Saccharomyces cerevisiae S288C: one gene and its partners. The protein of the gene in region 4 purifies or fractionates together with the protein of the main gene of each other region. This does not show direct contact. Each region holds a gene or a part of one and is shown on either strand. Other genes may lie near its edges.

Region 1 (3,236 bases), on a different chromosome or scaffold from region 4:
AGTTGTGAAGATTGGCAAATAAATCTTTAAAATAACTTCTTTGTCCGGGCTAAGCAGGATACCACACTTTAAATGATGATTACCACCCCACAAGAGAAGTCGGTCTGAATTTATTAATTCTGGTATCAGCAAATCCCGTATTTCAATAACTTCAAGAAATCTTGTTCCTCGTGGCCCAATGGTCACGGCGTCTGGCTACGAACCAGAAGATTCCAGGTTCAAGTCCTGGCGGGGAAGATTTTTTATACATTTTTCTAGACTTTTGATTTTTATACCTAGTGACAATTAAAATATAGAAAAGAGTTGGTAACCTCAGCTGCCGTACTCTTCAATTTAATTGGAGAAGTTGTCGAGTTTTTTTAAAGTACATTTCATTGGAACAACTAGTGACTAGTTCGAACGCGGAAAGACAATAATAGTACCCATAACGATAACTCCTTCGTTATCTATTGAATAGCTTGCCTTTCAAGTAAATCAATAATCAAGTCTGCGTATATCATTTATCGAGCACTTCTGAAAAAGATACCAGTTACACTGAAATACAACGATCGGATTACATAATGAATAATAACAGCAGAAACAACGAAAATCGAAGCACTATTAACAGAAATAAAAGGCAACTACAACAAGCAAAAGAAAAAAATGAAAATATTCATATCCCCAGGTATATTAGAAATCAACCATGGTACTATAAGGATACCCCCAAAGAACAAGAAGGGAAGAAGCCCGGCAATGATGATACGAGCACTGCAGAAGGAGGAGAAAAAAGCGACTACTTGGTGCATCATAGGCAAAAAGCAAAAGGGGGTGCTTTAGATATTGACAATAATTCAGAACCAAAAATTGGTATGGGTATAAAGGATGAGTTCAAACTAATCAGACCCCAGAAGATGTCCGTCCGAGATTCTCATTCGCTGTCATTTTGTAGGAATTGTGGGGAAGCAGGGCATAAGGAGAAAGACTGCATGGAAAAACCTCGTAAGATGCAGAAGCTTGTTCCCGATTTAAATTCACAAAAAAATAATGGCACAGTTTTAGTACGAGCTACTGATGATGACTGGGACTCCAGAAAAGATAGATGGTACGGTTACTCAGGGAAAGAATACAATGAACTGATAAGTAAGTGGGAGCGTGATAAAAGAAATAAAATAAAAGGAAAAGACAAATCCCAAACTGATGAAACACTATGGGATACAGATGAAGAGATAGAACTAATGAAGTTAGAACTTTACAAGGATTCCGTAGGTTCATTGAAGAAAGATGATGCTGATAATTCTCAGTTGTATAGGACATCAACGAGATTGAGAGAAGATAAGGCTGCTTACTTGAACGACATAAATTCAACGGAGAGTAATTATGATCCTAAATCAAGATTGTACAAAACTGAAACACTGGGCGCAGTTGATGAAAAATCAAAAATGTTCCGCAGACATTTGACAGGTGAAGGCCTAAAATTAAACGAATTGAACCAGTTTGCTAGATCTCACGCTAAGGAAATGGGTATACGTGATGAAATTGAGGATAAGGAAAAAGTACAACATGTTTTAGTCGCCAATCCTACTAAATATGAATATCTGAAGAAAAAACGGGAACAAGAAGAAACCAAGCAGCCCAAGATTGTCAGCATTGGAGATCTGGAAGCTAGGAAAGTAGATGGTACAAAGCAATCTGAGGAACAACGGAACCACTTAAAAGATTTATATGGTTAAGTTATATCATTTGAATTTCCAATATCCTAGTCACGGAGCACGAGAGGTAAAGAATTTAGAAAAAAAAATGCGATGAGCTGAAAAAAATTGTCAAATATAAACTACATTCTTAAGTATACGTATATATCTTGCGCATTCACGGCATAATACACTAAATAGACACTTAAAAAATCGAGTGAGAACATTCACAATGGAGACCTCCAACTTTGTTAAACAATTATCGTCGAACAACAGAAAAACCAGGGTAAATGCACTCGAAGCGTTAAAGAAATATCTAACCGCTAAACAGTTCAAGGAGAACAAACAAATAGAATTCAATAAACTTTGGAAGGGTCTTTACTATGCAATGTGGTTCAGTGACCGTCCTAGACCTCAGCAACGTTTAGCCAATGAATTAGGTGAATTGCATGGATTATATTTTGATCCTAAGGACAATAGCACTGCAGATGAGTTGACCACAAACGATAAAGCATTTATAAAGTTTAGCAGAGGGTTTTGGAAGGTCATGTGCTTTGAATGGTTTAACATTGACAGATATAGGTTGGATAAGTATCTTCTATTGATAAGAAGGGTATTATTCAGTCAATTGAAGTATTTGCAGTCCAGAAACTGGGACAAAAAATTAGTCGACGAGTATATTAAGAAAGTGTTGAGGTGGTTACCTCTGAGTGGAAGTCCAAAGGTCTACACAGGGATTCCAATTCATATCGTCGATATTCTGCTGGACGAATGGGAAAGATTGCTTAAAGATGGAGATGAAGACGATGAAGACGAGGAAAACAAAGAGGAAGAGATGCGCAAAATTGCAGAGAGCGCAAAAAAAACGCCACTAGCCGATGTTATCGCAATTTTCCAAGATATCGTGGCAGATTACAATAACAGTAAGGTGTTGAGAGAGAAGATCAAAGAAGACCTATTCAGTGACACCAGACTTGTTTCCTGGGATATTCTTGAAGGCGAAACGCAACATAATGATTCCAGTAACGAATCTGAAGAAGAGGAAGAGGAAGAGTGGAAGGGATTTTGATTCTTCCTGGCGGTAGTATGTAAGTAATCGTAAGTCGCTCATATAAATTGTAGTTGTATATCTATAGTACGAAAAATTCATTACCCTCTGTGGATATTGGCGGAATGCGAAACACGTCGCCTTTTTTTCCTCGCAACATTTTTTTTATTTTTTTTTCGTTTTGAAATGAAAGAATACTAGTGATTAAATTAAACAAGGAAAATAGTACAGATTGGCGTGTATTGTCCATAACTCGTGTCCATTGTCCGCACTACGCTAGTTTACCAAAGATAAAATCACGTATAACATTGAAAAATAAAATGGCTAGAGCTAGTGAAAAAGGTGAAGAGAAAAAGCAGAGCAACAACCAGGTTGAAAAGCTGGTTGAAGCACCTGTAGAATTTGTCAGAGAAGGTACTCAATTCTTGGCCAAGTGTAAGAAACCTGATTTGAAGGAATACACCAAGATTGTCAAGGCTGTTGGTATTGGTTTTATTGCAGTCGGTATCATTGGTTACGCC
Region 2 (5,971 bases), on a different chromosome or scaffold from region 4:
GATGACTTATCCACAACAGCCAATGGTGAAAACCAAAACAATTGAATTGATCGATTATGATAAATTACCTGCTGGTCAAAATGCTACGGTTGCTGTCATGTCCTATTCTGGTTATGATATTGAAGATGCTTTGGTTTTGAATAAGTCATCCATCGATAGAGGTTTCGGCCGTTGCGAAACACGTAGAAAGACAACCACTGTTTTGAAAAGATATGCGAACCATACCCAAGATATCATCGGTGGTATGAGAGTTGATGAAAATGGAGATCCTATCTGGCAACATCAATCTCTTGGTCCTGATGGTCTAGGTGAGGTGGGTATGAAGGTCCAAAGTGGACAAATTTATATAAATAAGTCAGTTCCAACTAACTCAGCAGACGCCCCAAACCCAAACAACGTAAACGTCCAAACTCAATATAGGGAAGCTCCGGTAATATATAGAGGTCCAGAACCTTCTCACATTGACCAAGTTATGATGTCTGTTTCGGATAACGATCAAGCTTTAATCAAAGTTTTGCTAAGACAAAACAGAAGGCCAGAATTAGGTGACAAATTTTCTTCTAGACATGGTCAAAAAGGTGTTTGTGGTATTATTGTAAAGCAAGAAGACATGCCCTTCAACGATCAAGGTATAGTTCCAGACATTATCATGAACCCTCACGGTTTTCCATCTCGTATGACTGTGGGTAAAATGATCGAACTGATATCGGGTAAAGCTGGTGTATTGAATGGTACATTGGAATATGGTACTTGTTTTGGTGGTTCTAAACTTGAAGATATGTCTAAGATTTTGGTAGACCAAGGTTTCAACTATTCCGGTAAGGATATGTTATATTCAGGTATAACAGGTGAGTGTTTACAGGCTTACATCTTTTTTGGCCCCATTTACTATCAAAAGTTAAAGCATATGGTCTTAGATAAGATGCATGCAAGAGCTCGTGGTCCAAGGGCTGTTTTGACACGTCAACCAACTGAGGGTAGATCTAGAGATGGTGGTCTGAGGTTGGGTGAGATGGAGAGGGATTGTGTAATCGCGTATGGTGCTTCACAATTGCTGTTAGAAAGGTTGATGATTAGTTCAGATGCTTTTGAAGTTGATGTCTGCGATAAATGTGGATTAATGGGCTATAGTGGTTGGTGTACTACCTGCAAAAGTGCTGAGAATATTATTAAGATGACTATTCCATATGCAGCAAAACTGTTATTCCAGGAATTATTATCCATGAACATAGCCCCAAGATTAAGATTGGAAGATATCTTCCAGCAGTAAGAAATCATATATCTTGTACTAAATTTTGCGTTATGTTAGCAATCATATCTATTTCGTGAGGAACTTTAAGAGAGTTGAACGATTTCGAAAATTATATAACAGTAAACCGTACTTCTTTCATTTTTGTACCTTGCTTTACATCATTACTTTTTATAAGATCCATCGAACGTTTGACGTGTTTTCTATCCATAAACCGGCCAAAATATAAAAATATCCAGCTGACAAGAGAAAGCTTGGAGTGCTCACATGTTAGCACATGTGAGCACAATGATATATACGCTTTAAAAAAGACTTTTCTTTATTTTACACATTTATAGACTTAACTATTGAATTCAAGACAAAAAATCAAATCTTGCTGAGTTGTTAAGCGTCTGACATTTCAACATCTTCGTTGTCATCATCACTTTCCAGACTGTTTAATAATTTTGCTTCTTCTGTTTCTCTTTCTTTGTCTTGTTCTTCCATACTTTCTCTCATTAATCTGGCCTTTTCTTCCTTAACTTCACGTTGTACTGCAACATAAGAACCTAAAGGTGTTTTATTCCAAGCTACATCATTCAAAAATCTTGAAACTTCAGATTTGTTTGTTGGCCCAAATTCAACATCTGATCTCTTTTCTTGGATGAATGTGCTGTTTTGGTTCAATTTTTCTACAACAGTTGATAAACGTTTGTTAAGTTTGACATTAGTTGAAGTCTTGATGTAACGGCGTAAAGAGATAATAACCGGTGTTACAAGTTCAGGAAATGCAATGTTTTTACAGTACAGAGCAAAATAATCGCCCAATAAGTCCACAAACTGTTCTGACAAACCCTCTTGGTATATTTTTGTATTCAGATAAGCTTGCGTACATTTGATGTTGTGCTCAAAATCGAAAGCAGCCAAGTTAGGGCTCTTTTTGGGTGCCTTAGTGAAAGCCGTTGAGGTTAAAATTTCAGAAAGTAAAGGATATATTGGAATAAAAACACCACTATTTTGAGAAAGTCTAATAAGTGATTTAATCAAATAAAATCTTAATGGGAAGAATTGTGGTGTTGGGATTAATCTGATTACACCCAAAGTAACCTGAACCAATGGGTAAATTAATTGTCGTAAAGGAGATTCACTGCCATTTTCCTTTTCTGGTTGACAAGCAAACGATAGTACACGAGACCAGAAATCCAAGGAGTGACAGAATTGCCAGTTGTATACAATCTTGTAAGCTTCTGCGGAATTAATTTTACTGGATTTTTTAGTTGTCGCGTTCATTGTATTTCTTAAATGAATTGCCAATTGCCTAATATACTCAAATCCAACTTGGTAACCTAGAACTTCATCGATACCGAACAATTCAGCTGCCGAATTTTTTTGAAAATTAATCAGTGGCATAGAACGCATATTCGTTTTACGACAACTTTTGATAAAAGTGGAGTACGTTGTTTTTAAGGTTGTTTCTAGCATAGACTTCTTGAACTCTTTGGTGGTATTGATCAAAAAGGCAAAAGAAGCAATCTGGGTTTCTAATTCTCTCGTTGTAGACCATACTCCAACAATTGATTTAATAAGCTCCTTTAAGATCCTTCTGTATGATAAAAGATAAGGCATCAATTCGTTGACAGAATGAAGAACTAATGCTGCTGTTTCCGTATTAGTAATATCATTCAATAAAATCAACAAAGAGCCAGCATGCGACTTGACAATGGACGAGACCCTGGAGACGTTACCTCCATTTGGTAAGGTCCTTGCGCCTTTTACAATCTTGTATGGGGCCATCTTTTGAATCGCTTGTGGTACATCTTTCAAGACCATGAACATCAATTCGTGGAATGCTTTCTCATCAGTGATAGCATATTTATAGTCTTCGATGTTTTCTTCCTTGTTCAAATTTACAGCAACCTTGAAAGCACTGATTATGTTCCTTAGTAATTTTAAGCTTGGAGAATCATGAAGTTGTTTTTTCCATTTCCTAACCAATTTCAAAGAAAGCTCAATTTTTTCCTTTTCCAGCTCCATTTGTTCAGATTTTTCTTCAATATTACTGTTTCTTTCAGCATCTTCACCTTCATCTTGACTATCAATTCCATCCAATGGATTGGTACCTGCGAAGTCCAATAAATCTTTATCATTTTCCTCCAAATACTTATAAAATTCGGGATCCTTTTCGGCCAACTTTGCCATGCTTTGTCCCATGTCTTCCTCCTCTTCGGAAGAGGAGGAATCTTCATCAGATTGCTCTTTCGTAGTTTTTTTCTTCAATTTTTTATTCTCTTTTGGAATTTCGATGCCCTTTTCAAAAAAAGTTTCGACAGACATGTCCTTAAAAACCTCTTCCTTTGCAGATTTTTTCAACTGCTGTTGTTCCCTAGTACCAGCAGCATCGGCCTTTTCCTGATCAGTTTTGTTGCCACGACGGCCTTGGATTCTCTTCTTTTGGATCTTTTCCTTTCTTCTTTGGTCTAGAGTATGCTTCAAATGCTTCGATTGAAACTTCTTGGTCGATTTAGAAACTTTACCCATCTCCACTTATTCTATTGTTGACCTTCTCTATCTCTCTTACAATTCAAAAATTAGTATAAATGAATTTACCCATGTACAAGTATTCTGTTTCTCTATTTTCTCTGTAAATATCATGCTCATCTCATCGGAAGAAAAAATTCAGAAAATTTTTCAAAACTCGTCGAAGATGATAACTACTATTTGATGTTATGGGTCAAGATACATTTAACAGAGCAATATTAACGAAGGACCTTCCTAGTAACACGTCTAATTACTTTGAACAATTCAATATGCGGGAATGTTGAATCTGTGTCATGCTCTTCGAGGCGTACGTCAGTTTTCCTGTTCTGTGATTGTGAAAGTGAAATGTGCGTCATGTTCCATAAAACTACAGGATCAGGATCCTAGTAAACCAGGATATTATACGAAGCCAAAAAGTCTACCCGACTCAAAACTAAATCCTGACCTCCAAGATCTGAAGTATTTGCTATTCAGTCAAGACATACAGCTCTCGAAACAGGCAACTCAAAATGATCCTGACCTCAAAACCAAAAGAGATTTACTATTGAGAGTGATTTGCAAAAGGTGCAGTAATGCCCTTCATCATAACAATTATAACCCGGAAGAGTTTCCCGAAAGCACATTAAATGATATTCTGAACTACGTCCCCAGAGGCTCAAATGTTATGCATATTGTCCCCTTTGTAGAATTTCCCTTACATTTAGACCCCAATGTTTTGAAACGAAATGATTTAGATACTACATTAGTGTTAACGAAAAGCGATCAAGTTTTTAAAGATAAAAATGCTGTCAGCAAAAAGGTTCCTATATTCATGAAGCAATTTTTAAAGAACACTTTAAGAATTGACTCAAATAAAACATTCGCCATATCTGCGCTGAAAAACTGGAACATATCCATGTTTTACAACTACTTTAAAAACTACACATATTTGCTAGGCAACCCTAATGTTGGTAAATCAACTTTGATCAATACTCTACTACAGAAATATCTTGGATATAAGGTTAAAATTGATTCTACTGGGAAAATTAACTCCCCCTCTGAAGAAGTGATGCAAGAAGCTTTTACGAACCCGAAGAATTTTTTCAAGATTCAAGCTGCTGGTGTATCACATATTCCCAATTTAACTAGATCCGTACAAGCCTACCAAGTTGGAGGTAAAATACTTTTTGATCTTCCAGGCTATTCAACTTCCACCTCCAGATTACGCCTAGAAGAACTAATCGACGAGCGTTGGCTTCAAAGGCTGCGAAAAACCGATTTATTCAATCGGAAGCATATAAAACAGAAGACTTATGAGTCTATGAAGGGCACATCACAGGGAGGCTGTTATACCGTGGGAGGGATTTTCTACCTGGTACCTCCGAAAGGATCCATAAATCAGATTGTGAAATACATACCAGGACCATCAAAAACATTCAAGAACATTGAAAAAGGTATTGATGTATTCAACTCGTGCAATTCATCATCTGGCACACATCCGTTATCACGGTATTGTGGAATTAAAAGCGTTATATGCGAAAAAAGCCAGTACAAAAGGTACGCAATACCTCCATTTATTGGAAGTATAGAGATCGTTCTGAAAGATATAGGATATATTTTATTAAGGACAACTGGGAGGTATGAGTTCAAAGGACTACATGAGATATGGATACCTAGGGGTATCCAAGTAGGTATAAGGGAACCGCTAGAAAACTTGATTGAGTCTGGCTACCAGCGTTACATTGAAACAAATGGTAAAGAGTCAAGCTGTCCCAGAGATAGACCGATCATCAGTTCCCTGTATGAGATGGCCCCGGATGAAGCTGATACTTTGAACGCAGTGAAGAAGTCGTATTTAGAAAAAACCGAGAAAGATTTATCTGCTAGAAGATTTGTCGACGATGATCCTTATGATTTGGTTCAACACCTAGAAAAAAAAAAGAATCCCTATTGGTACTACCAATGGTAAGACTCGCTGTTCACTTGGTTGCACCAATAAGTAGTAACGCACATGTAAATATGAATGTAAGTAAACTAAAAAGAAAGTTGGGAACAAAGTATATTCAAAAACGAATATACAGGAAATAAGCAATAGAAAGTATTATGAATTATACTGTTGATGTTTATTCTATCTACAAAACACAAATAAAGTAGAGTATAAGGCGAGTCAATAAAAAGGCCTCAACTCAAAAAAGGGAGAGAAAATGTAGGAAGGAAATGAATACT
Region 3 (5,299 bases), on a different chromosome or scaffold from region 4:
TAGCTTACAAACCTAACGGTTCCATGAAGGGTATCAGAATATTTGAAGCTTTTGTTTCTTTATTGGTGGTTCTTACCGTAGTTTGCTTTACTGTTGAACTGTTTTATGCCAAACTGGGACCTGCCAAAGAAATATTTTCTGGGTTCTTACCCAGTAAAGCCGTTTTTGAAGGTGATGGGTTATACTTAAGTCTGGCAATTCTGGGCGCCACGGTAATGCCTCATTCATTATATTTGGGGTCAGGTGTGGTTCAACCAAGATTAAGAGAGTATGATATCAAAAACGGACATTACTTGCCAGACGCGAATGATATGGATAACAATCACGATAATTACAGGCCATCCTATGAGGCCATCAGTGAAACTCTGCACTTTACTATAACGGAATTACTGATCTCGCTGTTCACGGTGGCATTATTTGTCAATTGTGCCATTCTTATCGTGTCTGGCGCTACACTATACGGGTCCACTCAAAATGCTGAGGAAGCTGACTTATTTTCTATTTACAACTTACTCTGTAGTACTCTTTCCAAGGGAGCGGGAACGGTATTCGTGCTGGCATTGTTGTTTTCAGGACAGAGTGCCGGTATCGTGTGTACGTTGAGTGGACAAATGGTTAGTGAAGGGTTCTTAAATTGGACTGTTTCTCCGGCATTGAGAAGATCCGCCACAAGAGCGGTAGCCATCACGCCTTGTTTGATTTTAGTGCTTGTAGCTGGACGTAGCGGCCTCTCTGGTGCACTAAATGCTTCCCAAGTGGTACTTTCTCTCTTGCTGCCTTTTGTTTCTGCACCTTTACTTTACTTCACTTCAAGCAAGAAGATTATGCGTGTACAGCTTAACCGTACCAAAGAACTTTCAAGAACTACAGACAAAAAACCCGTGGCCGACCGAACCGAAGATGATGAGACCATTGAGCTCGAAGAAATGGGCATAGGCAGCAGCTCACAGGAGCGCAGCTTAGTTTCTCCTGCTCCAGAATACAAAGACATGAGCAATGGAATGATCGTCACCGTGCTCGCAATCATAGTATGGTTGATTATCTCCGGACTGAACTTTTATATGTTACTGGGCTTTACTACGGGCAAAGAAGTACACCTCTAATATAACAATTCTTTAGACTAGTATAAGTATACATTTTATCCAAGAATAATAACAGAAAATTCCAATCAAAAAGTTGGTGTTAGGCTATACTGATGGCCGTATCGCTCCATACGAGCCAATCAGGGCCCCGCGCGTTATTTCCGCCGCTTACAGCTTTCTTTGAATCTCCCTATGAAAAGGGACCTAATTGGTCCGGTCAAAGCATTAATAAAGATCAACAATTGCTCTTGCTTATCAAGGTGCCAGATCTCAAGGTTACCTCATTTCTTTACATTTCATCCACATTTTAGCACACTTATTTATTATTACAATTTGAAAAATTGTATCACTTCTGAGACTTAGTAGCGGAGATAAACAGCCGAACAATTGTATTTGACACATAAACTAATAAATATACAACAATGTTATCAAGGGCCATATTCAGAAATCCAGTTATAAATAGAACTTTATTGAGAGCCAGACCTGGTGCTTATCATGCAACTAGATTGACTAAAAATACGTTTATTCAAAGTAGGAAGTATTCTGACGCACATGATGAAGAAACCTTTGAGGAATTCACCGCAAGATACGAAAAGGAGTTTGATGAAGCCTATGATTTGTTTGAAGTGCAAAGAGTGCTCAACAACTGTTTTTCCTATGATTTAGTTCCTGCTCCTGCTGTTATTGAAAAAGCTTTGAGGGCTGCCAGAAGAGTCAATGACTTACCTACCGCAATTAGAGTATTTGAGGCTTTGAAATACAAGGTGGAGAATGAAGACCAATACAAGGCCTACTTGGATGAATTGAAGGATGTCAGACAAGAATTGGGCGTTCCCTTAAAGGAAGAGCTATTTCCAAGCTCTTCTTAATAATAAGGAAAAAGCTACCACACAACGTCTGTAATTTGTTGTCCTTTTTTTATTTGTGGAAAATTCCTCAATTTGAAATAAGATTCGTATTTATTTTGTAAAACGATTTTAGTTTTTATTTTTTTTTTTTCTTCCCTTTTACCTTATTATTTGTTTTACCCTTTATGGATATTCATCCACTCAGAAACTAATATATCAAAATCAACGATAAGATCACAAGAGGTGAAATAAGAAAAGTAAAAGAAAAATATTTAAATTTAACCATTATGATTTCCACTTTGTTTTCTCTACTCTATTACTTGAACAAACTTTATTTTTGGTAATGAGGGCTGGTCACAGATTACCTTTAATATCCTTTGTTAGTAGCTTTTTTGTGTTCTATTTCAGGAAAGAAGAATGGGAAAAATAATAAAACAATAAATAACTATATAAAAAACAAAAACCTAGAATATACCATTAAAGAATTACTATTCTATTCTGTGCTTCACCGTTGCGTCAATAAATGTGAAGTTGATGTCACTTCATACTAAAAAAATTAAAGACAATTTCCTGAAAAAAATTTTTCCACTGGAGCTCATCGCAAATTTTGAAAAGTAACAAAAAGCGTTTGTATACTGCATAAAGAATAGTGTCTGTTTTATAAGAAATATTAGACAGCAGGCAGATAAACCTACGTTCCAGACTATAAAGTATAAAATGGCTAAAAAGAGTAACTCAAAGAAATCTACGCCTGTAAGTACACCAAGCAAAGAAAAGAAGAAGGTTATTGAAAAGAAATCTTCCACAGCCATTCCTAGGGAAAGAGTTATTAAAGCTGTCAACGAGCTTATAAAATTCACTTCCAAGCCACAAGATGAAAATAATGAAGAAGGAAATAACGGTAAGAAAAACCTATTGGAAGATGATGAAGAAGAATTGAAGAAAGATCTGCAATTAATCGTAGTAAATAATAAATCATTCACCGGTACTTCCAAATCATTCAAATTGAAATTACTAAATGTCAAACATTCGTTTTACAAGCCTTGGAAAGAAGCCAGTGCAACAGCGGTTAAGGATTTCAAAGTTTTATTAATTTTGAAGGATTCTGATATTAAGAAAGTTTCAGAAGATGATTTATTTGATCAATTAGATTCAGAAGGAATCAAGGTTGATGAAATCATTTGCGGGAAAGACTTAAAGACCGTTTACAAGGCATATGAGGCTAGAAACGCTTTTATATCTCAGTTTTCTTTGATTTTGGCTGACGACAGTATAGTTACATCTTTGCCAAAACTTATGGGAGGCAAAGCCTACAACAAAGTAGAAACTACTCCTATATCAATTAGAACACATGCAAATAAGGAATTTTCCTTGACCACTTTGACGAACAATATCAAAAAGGTTTACATGAATCAGTTGCCCGTTAAACTTCCAAGAGGTACCACGTTGAATGTCCATTTGGGTAATTTAGAATGGTTAAGGCCAGAAGAGTTTGTAGATAACGTTGAATTAATTTCTGAACAGTTAATCAAAGCATACCAAATCAGATCCATTTTTATCAAGACCAATAGGTCGCCCGTATTGCCATTATACTATAACCAGGACGTTCTTGATGAACTTGAAGCTAAAAAGGACAAAATCGAAGAAACCCACGAAGATGACATGGTCACCATTGATGGTGTACAAGTTCATTTGTCTACCTTCAACAAGGGTTTGATGGAAATCGCCAATCCTTCCGAATTGGGTTCAATTTTCTCTAAACAAATTAACAATGCAAAAAAGAGATCTTCTAGCGAGCTTGAAAAAGAATCTAGCGAGTCAGAAGCTGTCAAGAAGGCTAAAAGTTAATTTGTTTCCTCCTTATCTATCTTTTCTCTCATTTTTTTCTTGTGAAGAAAAAAATTTGAATTTCATAGAGTGCGGTGCATATGTATATATCTATATATGTTTGAAGTGTATATTAAAAATAAAGTCATTATTTGAATATTGGTTTCTCGGTCTAAGAGCTTATACGTTTTAGACTGATCTGTTGTACTATCCGCTTCAAATAAATAGATCATTGAAAGTGACGGGGATAACAGCATTTTACCTTTAAAAGACGTTCTCATAATACATTTTAGGATTAATACATATGCTTTTTTTTTATTCGAAATCTGGGGATTCTATACAGAGTTGTAAGTTAGGCAAACTAGAATTTGGTAATAATATTTTATTCTTGGGGCGACATATGGAGATACTTTATTTCCTTTTCTTAATTATTAACGTATACCTATAAATTAACAAAGTATCTAAACAAAATACATAAGTGTACTCAAACTGAGTAGAATCGTCGATTAAACTTCCTTCTCCTTTTAAAAATTAAAAACAGCAAATAGTTAGATGAATATATTAAAGACTATTCGTTTCATTTCCCAGAGCAGCATGACTTCTTGGTTTCTTCAGACTTGTTACCGCAGGGGCATTTGTCGTCGCTGTTACACCCCGTTGGGCAGCTACATGATTTTTGGCATTGTTCATTATTTTTGCAGCTACCACATTGGCATTGGCACTCATGACCTTCATTTTGGAAGTTAATTAATTCGCTGAACATTTTATGTGATGATTGATTGATTGATTGTACAGTTTGTTTTTCTTAATATCTATTTCGATGACTTCTATATGATATTGCACTAACAAGAAGATATTATAATGCAATTGATACAAGACAAGGAGTTATTTGCTTCTCTTTTATATGATTCTGACAATCCATATTGCGTTGGTAGTCTTTTTTGCTGGAACGGTTCAGCGGAAAAGACGCATCGCTCTTTTTGCTTCTAGAAGAAATGCCAGCAAAAGAATCTCTTGACAGTGACTGACAGCAAAAATGTCTTTTTCTAACTAGTAACAAGGCTAAGATATCAGCCTGAAATAAAGGGTGGTGAAGTAATAATTAAATCATCCGTATAAACCTATACACATATATGAGGAAAAATAATACAAAAGTGTTTTAAATACAGATACATACATGAACATATGCACGTATAGCGCCCAAATGTCGGTAATGGGATCGGCTTACTAATTATAAAATGCATCATAGAAATCGTTGAAGTTTGCCGTAGTAATACCCAGATTATCAGATTCCAAATCCTTGTCAATAATTATACTCCTTTGGACAACTTCTCTTTCCATTAAAAAATCTGAAATCTCCTTAAATTTTAAATAGATTCTGTTCAGTTCACTAACGGGGAATTTCAAGAGAACATTTTTGTTCTTCGCCGACTGACTATAATCTGTAACATTATTGTTATCAGAGTTTCTCGCAAAATTTTGTTTTTTCTTGCTAAATCTCAGCATATATTTAATCAGATTCAAAACCTTGTTGAAACCTTT
Region 4 (4,307 bases):
ATGGGTTTAAGGCCACTCCCAAAGGGCGAATACTACACCAGATTTTTGCATCCTTTGGGACTATAAGACATTTAGCAACCGCACTCAGTGGGCACAAAGCTAATTGCAACTAAGTATATAAATGTAAATATATATATTCTCAGGTTTTTTTGTTGGAAGTTATCAAACGGAACACTCTGTGGACATTTATATTTTTTGTTTCTTAGCTCCATGTTCAGCAAGCTTTTCACTGGAGTCAGCTGCAGTCGCGTTTTCCGATACAGGTTCAGGAGCAGGGATGACTCTGTGACACCACATTAGATATCCACCACCACCTTTCATGGTCATCAGAGGGTGTAGCTTACCCCTTATACTTTGGTACGGCCTACATCTAGTTTCCAAAATTGATGGTGCTAAAAACCTGAGGTCTGAATATAAAGTATGAGCTAATTCCAACAAAGTTTCTTTGAATTGACCATAGCATACAATCGGCCTTGAACCATGGATTTTTTCGGCCAACTTTGGCACTAGTGTTGGTAAATGTAGTGTAGTAGCCATTACAAGACCGTCATATAGGAATTCTCCTGTTAGTTCTAAAATTTGCCATTGTGTATTGTACCATCTGAGTTTTCGGTAGTACGAGTTTTTCTTACCACCTTTTAATGCACGGGCTTCTTCTTTAGGTAATGGTGTAAATCTGCTCTGAATCTCTTGTAGTGTAGGCGGTTCAAAAAAATCTAATAGAGAAATGGTGTGTACATGCTCTTTAATAAATTTCTCAGAATAATTAGCAAACTTCAGCAAATCCAAGTTGGCATGTTCATTTTCGTGAATAACTATGACTTTGCCCTTGGATTTGCTTTCATTGTCACCGCCAAACATTCTTTCCAACAGAAAGTAAACCAATAACCCACCCGTTTCATCCATACAGAGATAGTTGCCTTCTGATTGGATGTTCGCAAGATTTAACAGCATCCCCATCGATTCCTGAGACATATCCAATACCCTTTGGATATCGCCTTTGTCGATTAAGAATTGTAAAAGGTTAGAGCTACTTAAATACTCAACGGTGAAGTACTTGGCGAATTTTTGTTTCTTCCTATTCACATATTTCTCTTGAGAATATACGGTCTTGTTGTGAAAACTTTTGTGAGATTTGATAATTTTGTCGATTATTTCTTTACTAGATAAAGATTCTTGTTTCATTTTTTCAATTTCTTCAACGGTTAACTCTTGGGCCTTGCTGCCCATGTTAACCAGATTCTGATTCGTAGCACTGCTGTCAATGCTAGACAATTCAAGAGACACAGATTTTTCCTTAATAGATAAAGGAGGCTCGCTTTGACCATCGTCTTTATCATTATTGACATCTTTGATCTCCTGCGATAATAGCCTTACTTTCCCGATGGGAATTTTGTTCTTTGGTTTCGAATCTCTATTTTCATCGGATGAAACCTCTTCGCCATCATAATATATCTCGAAAGTCAACCCGAAAGGATAACCAATTATGTCATTAACCTCGAAAGCACCGAATTTTCCTAATGATACAGAGGTGTTGGGCTTTAGTTCCACTATCTTGTAATTTTTTGATGGCAGCCGGACGATAACGTGCTGATTAAAATCTATGGTTGTCAAAGCATTCATTGTGCACTAAATTCAAAGTTTTTTTGTCCAATTCGTTTGCAACAATGTGAGTAGGATCCAACGTGCCAAAGAATTTAAAGTTGAATATTATTATTGTTATTATACACCTCATCGACTTTTTTTTTTTTTTTGATGAAATTTTTCAGATTTTACAAAACCGTTACCCAGTTTCACGTTTTCTGAAAAAAATTTTCATCTCATCGCAGAATAAGTTTAAGATGAGCTGAGCTGCAAATACAGTTGTCGCTAAGGTATATAGATTTGTAATTCTGGCGGAATTCCCCTTGTGTTGGCTAATATTAGAATTACATATACATATAATAGGAAATGGGTAGTAGACGTCATAAGAACAAGCAAGCCGCCCCACCAACCCTGGAGGAGTTTCAGGCAAGAAAGGAAAAGAAGGCTAATAGAAAGCTAGAAAAAGGAAAGAGACCTTCTACCACGCAAGGGGATGAAGTTTCTGATAGAAAGAAAAAGAAGTCGAAGCCATTCAAGAAATCTAGAAAAGAGGAGGAAGAAGTTGTTGAAGAGGATAAGGATTTGCCAGAAGTTGATCTTGAAGAATTATCAAAAGCCAGGAAATCTTTATTTGATGATGAAGAAGATGACGATGAAGCAGGATTGGTGGATGAAGAACTAAAAGATGAATTTGACTTGGAACAAGAATATGATTACGATGAAGATGAAGATAATGACGCCCACCCAATTTTTTCAGATGACGACGATGAGGCTGATCTTGAAGAACTAAATGCACAAAACATGGAAGCTCTTTCTAAGAAACTTGATGAAGAAGAAGCTGAAGAAGCTGAAGAAGCCGAAATGGAGTTAGTGGAAGCGGAGAACATGCAACCAAGAGCAGACATATTGCCCACTGAGGAGCAGGAAGAAATGATGGCACAAGAAACTCCTAATTTAACTTCCACAAGAACAAGAATGATTGAAATTGTAAAGGTTTTGGAAAATTTTAAGACTCTTGGTGCAGAAGGCAGATCGAGAGGAGAATACGTTGACAGACTTTTGAAAGATATTTGTGAGTACTTTGGTTATACACCATTTTTGGCGGAAAAGTTATTCAATCTATTCTCACCAGCAGAGGCGATGGAGTTTTTCGAAGCCAATGAAATTGCAAGACCAATAACCATCAGAACCAACACCTTGAAGACCAGAAGGAGAGACTTAGCTCAAACTCTTGTGAATAGAGGTGTTAATCTACAACCTATTGGTTCTTGGACTAAAGTTGGTCTTCAAATATTCGATTCCCAAGTCCCAATTGGTGCTACGCCAGAATATTTGGCAGGTCACTATATTTTACAAGCGGCATCATCTTTTCTACCAGTTATTGCTCTAGATCCTCATGAAAATGAGCGTATCTTGGATATGGCAGCTGCTCCAGGTGGTAAGACCACTTATATATCAGCTATGATGAAAAACACAGGTTGTGTTTTCGCTAACGACGCCAATAAATCTAGAACAAAATCTTTAATTGCTAATATCCACCGTCTAGGCTGTACCAACACTATTGTATGCAATTACGATGCCCGTGAGTTCCCTAAGGTAATTGGAGGTTTTGACAGAATTTTACTGGATGCCCCATGTTCCGGTACTGGTGTTATCGGTAAGGATCAATCTGTCAAGGTGTCTCGTACCGAGAAGGACTTCATTCAAATTCCACATCTACAAAAACAATTGCTTCTATCCGCCATTGATTCTGTTGATTGCAACTCGAAACATGGTGGTGTAATAGTATATTCGACATGTTCTGTTGCAGTGGAAGAGGACGAAGCTGTCATAGACTATGCATTGAGAAAAAGACCGAATGTCAAGTTAGTCGATACTGGTTTAGCGATCGGTAAAGAAGCGTTTACTAGTTACAGAGGCAAAAAGTTTCATCCTAGTGTGAAATTAGCGAGGAGGTACTATCCACATACGTACAACGTCGATGGGTTCTTTGTCGCTAAATTCCAAAAGATCGGTCCATCTTCGTTTGATGATAACCAAGCAAGTGCAAAAGAAAAGGAAACTGCTGCTAGAAAGGAAGCTTTGGAAGAAGGTATCATTCACTCTGACTTCGCAACCTTCGAGGACGAAGAAGACGATAAGTACATTGAAAAGTCTGTGAAAAACAATCTTTTGAAAAAGGGTGTCAATCCAAAAGCTAAAAGACCTTCTAACGAAAAATAAGTTCCCACAAACGTAGTGGCATCATGTTAGCATAGTTTTCTCTCTCTAATCTTTCTCTGTCTACATATATATATATATATATATATATCAATTTCAAATATGTCTCACTGTATATTAAATTCAAAATAGAAATAATAAAGCCGATTTGTAAACAGCACTAAGAAAAAAGGCGATGATATTACTTATTAATATTCGTTGCCAATATAGTATTACATATATCTCTATTTATTTCTCTTTTTTTGTTTTTAAGGCGTTTCAGTTTGCTGTCTCCTTAGTCTTCAAAATACTTCGTATTCCCTAACTTATGCTCTTTGATGTACTCTGGACCGTACTCTTCGTATTCTTTCTTACTGATAACTGTTTTCCTATACTGTTCTTCGTTTCGTGCTAGAGCTGCCATACCCTTCCAGGCATCCAATGAAGGATCTGAAGACATATTTACAGTGATATTGGTACCGGTAGGAAGGAATCCAGTGAATTCCTTCACAATACGTTCTTTC

What was found.
Region 1: the proteins of NOP2 (region 4) and RRP1 purify together in Saccharomyces cerevisiae (affinity purification with mass spectrometry; 6 studies listed by BioGRID). This does not show direct contact.
Region 2: the proteins of NOP2 (region 4) and NOC2 purify together in Saccharomyces cerevisiae (affinity purification with mass spectrometry; 8 studies listed by BioGRID, with this or other methods). This does not show direct contact.
Region 3: the proteins of NOP2 (region 4) and CIC1 purify together in Saccharomyces cerevisiae (affinity purification with mass spectrometry; 8 studies listed by BioGRID). This does not show direct contact.

Annotation. Positions count from the first base shown.
Region 1 is NC_001136.10:616,970-620,205, reverse strand, and holds RRP1 (Rrp1p), read left to right. Parts: upstream 1-1,899; coding exon 1,900-2,736; downstream 2,737-3,236. Other genes in the region: mRNA splicing protein SLU7, read left to right, coding at 561-1,709; translocon subunit SSS1, read left to right, coding at 3,036-3,236. UniProt on the Saccharomyces cerevisiae protein: Required for 27S rRNA processing to 25S and 5.8S.
Region 2 is NC_001147.6:725,307-731,277, reverse strand, and holds NOC2 (mRNA-binding ribosome synthesis protein NOC2), read right to left. Parts: upstream 3,767-5,971; coding exon 1,634-3,766; downstream 1-1,633. Other genes in the region: DNA-directed RNA polymerase III core subunit RET1, read left to right, coding at 1-1,270; GEP3 (Gep3p), read left to right, coding at 4,044-5,714. UniProt on the Saccharomyces cerevisiae protein: Involved in the intranuclear transport of ribosomal precursors.
Region 3 is NC_001140.6:208,201-213,499, forward strand, and holds CIC1 (Cic1p), read left to right. Parts: upstream 1-2,647; coding exon 2,648-3,778; downstream 3,779-5,299. Other genes in the region: divalent metal ion transporter SMF2, read left to right, coding at 1-1,103; YHR050W-A (uncharacterized protein), read left to right, coding at 1,275-1,445; COX6 (cytochrome c oxidase subunit VI), read left to right, coding at 1,505-1,951; YHR052C-B (uncharacterized protein), read right to left, coding at 4,319-4,492; metallothionein CUP1-1, read right to left, coding at 4,335-4,520; YHR054C (uncharacterized protein), read right to left, coding at 4,985-5,299. UniProt on the Saccharomyces cerevisiae protein: An adapter protein that specifically links the 26S proteasome to its substrate CDC4 which is one of the substrate recognition subunits of the SCF E3 ubiquitin ligase complex. Required for turnover of cell cycle regulatory proteins CDC4 and GRR1.
Region 4 is NC_001146.8:508,590-512,896, forward strand, and holds NOP2 (rRNA (cytosine-C5-)-methyltransferase NOP2), read left to right. Parts: upstream 1-1,950; coding exon 1,951-3,807; downstream 3,808-4,307. Other genes in the region: MTQ1 (S-adenosylmethionine-dependent methyltransferase), read left to right, coding at 1-113; tRNA 1-methyladenosine methyltransferase subunit GCD10, read right to left, coding at 187-1,623; actin-related protein ARP5, read right to left, coding at 4,079-4,307. UniProt on the Saccharomyces cerevisiae protein: S-adenosyl-L-methionine-dependent methyltransferase that specifically methylates the C(5) position of cytosine 2870 (m5C2870) in 25S rRNA. Required for 60S ribosomal subunit synthesis and processing.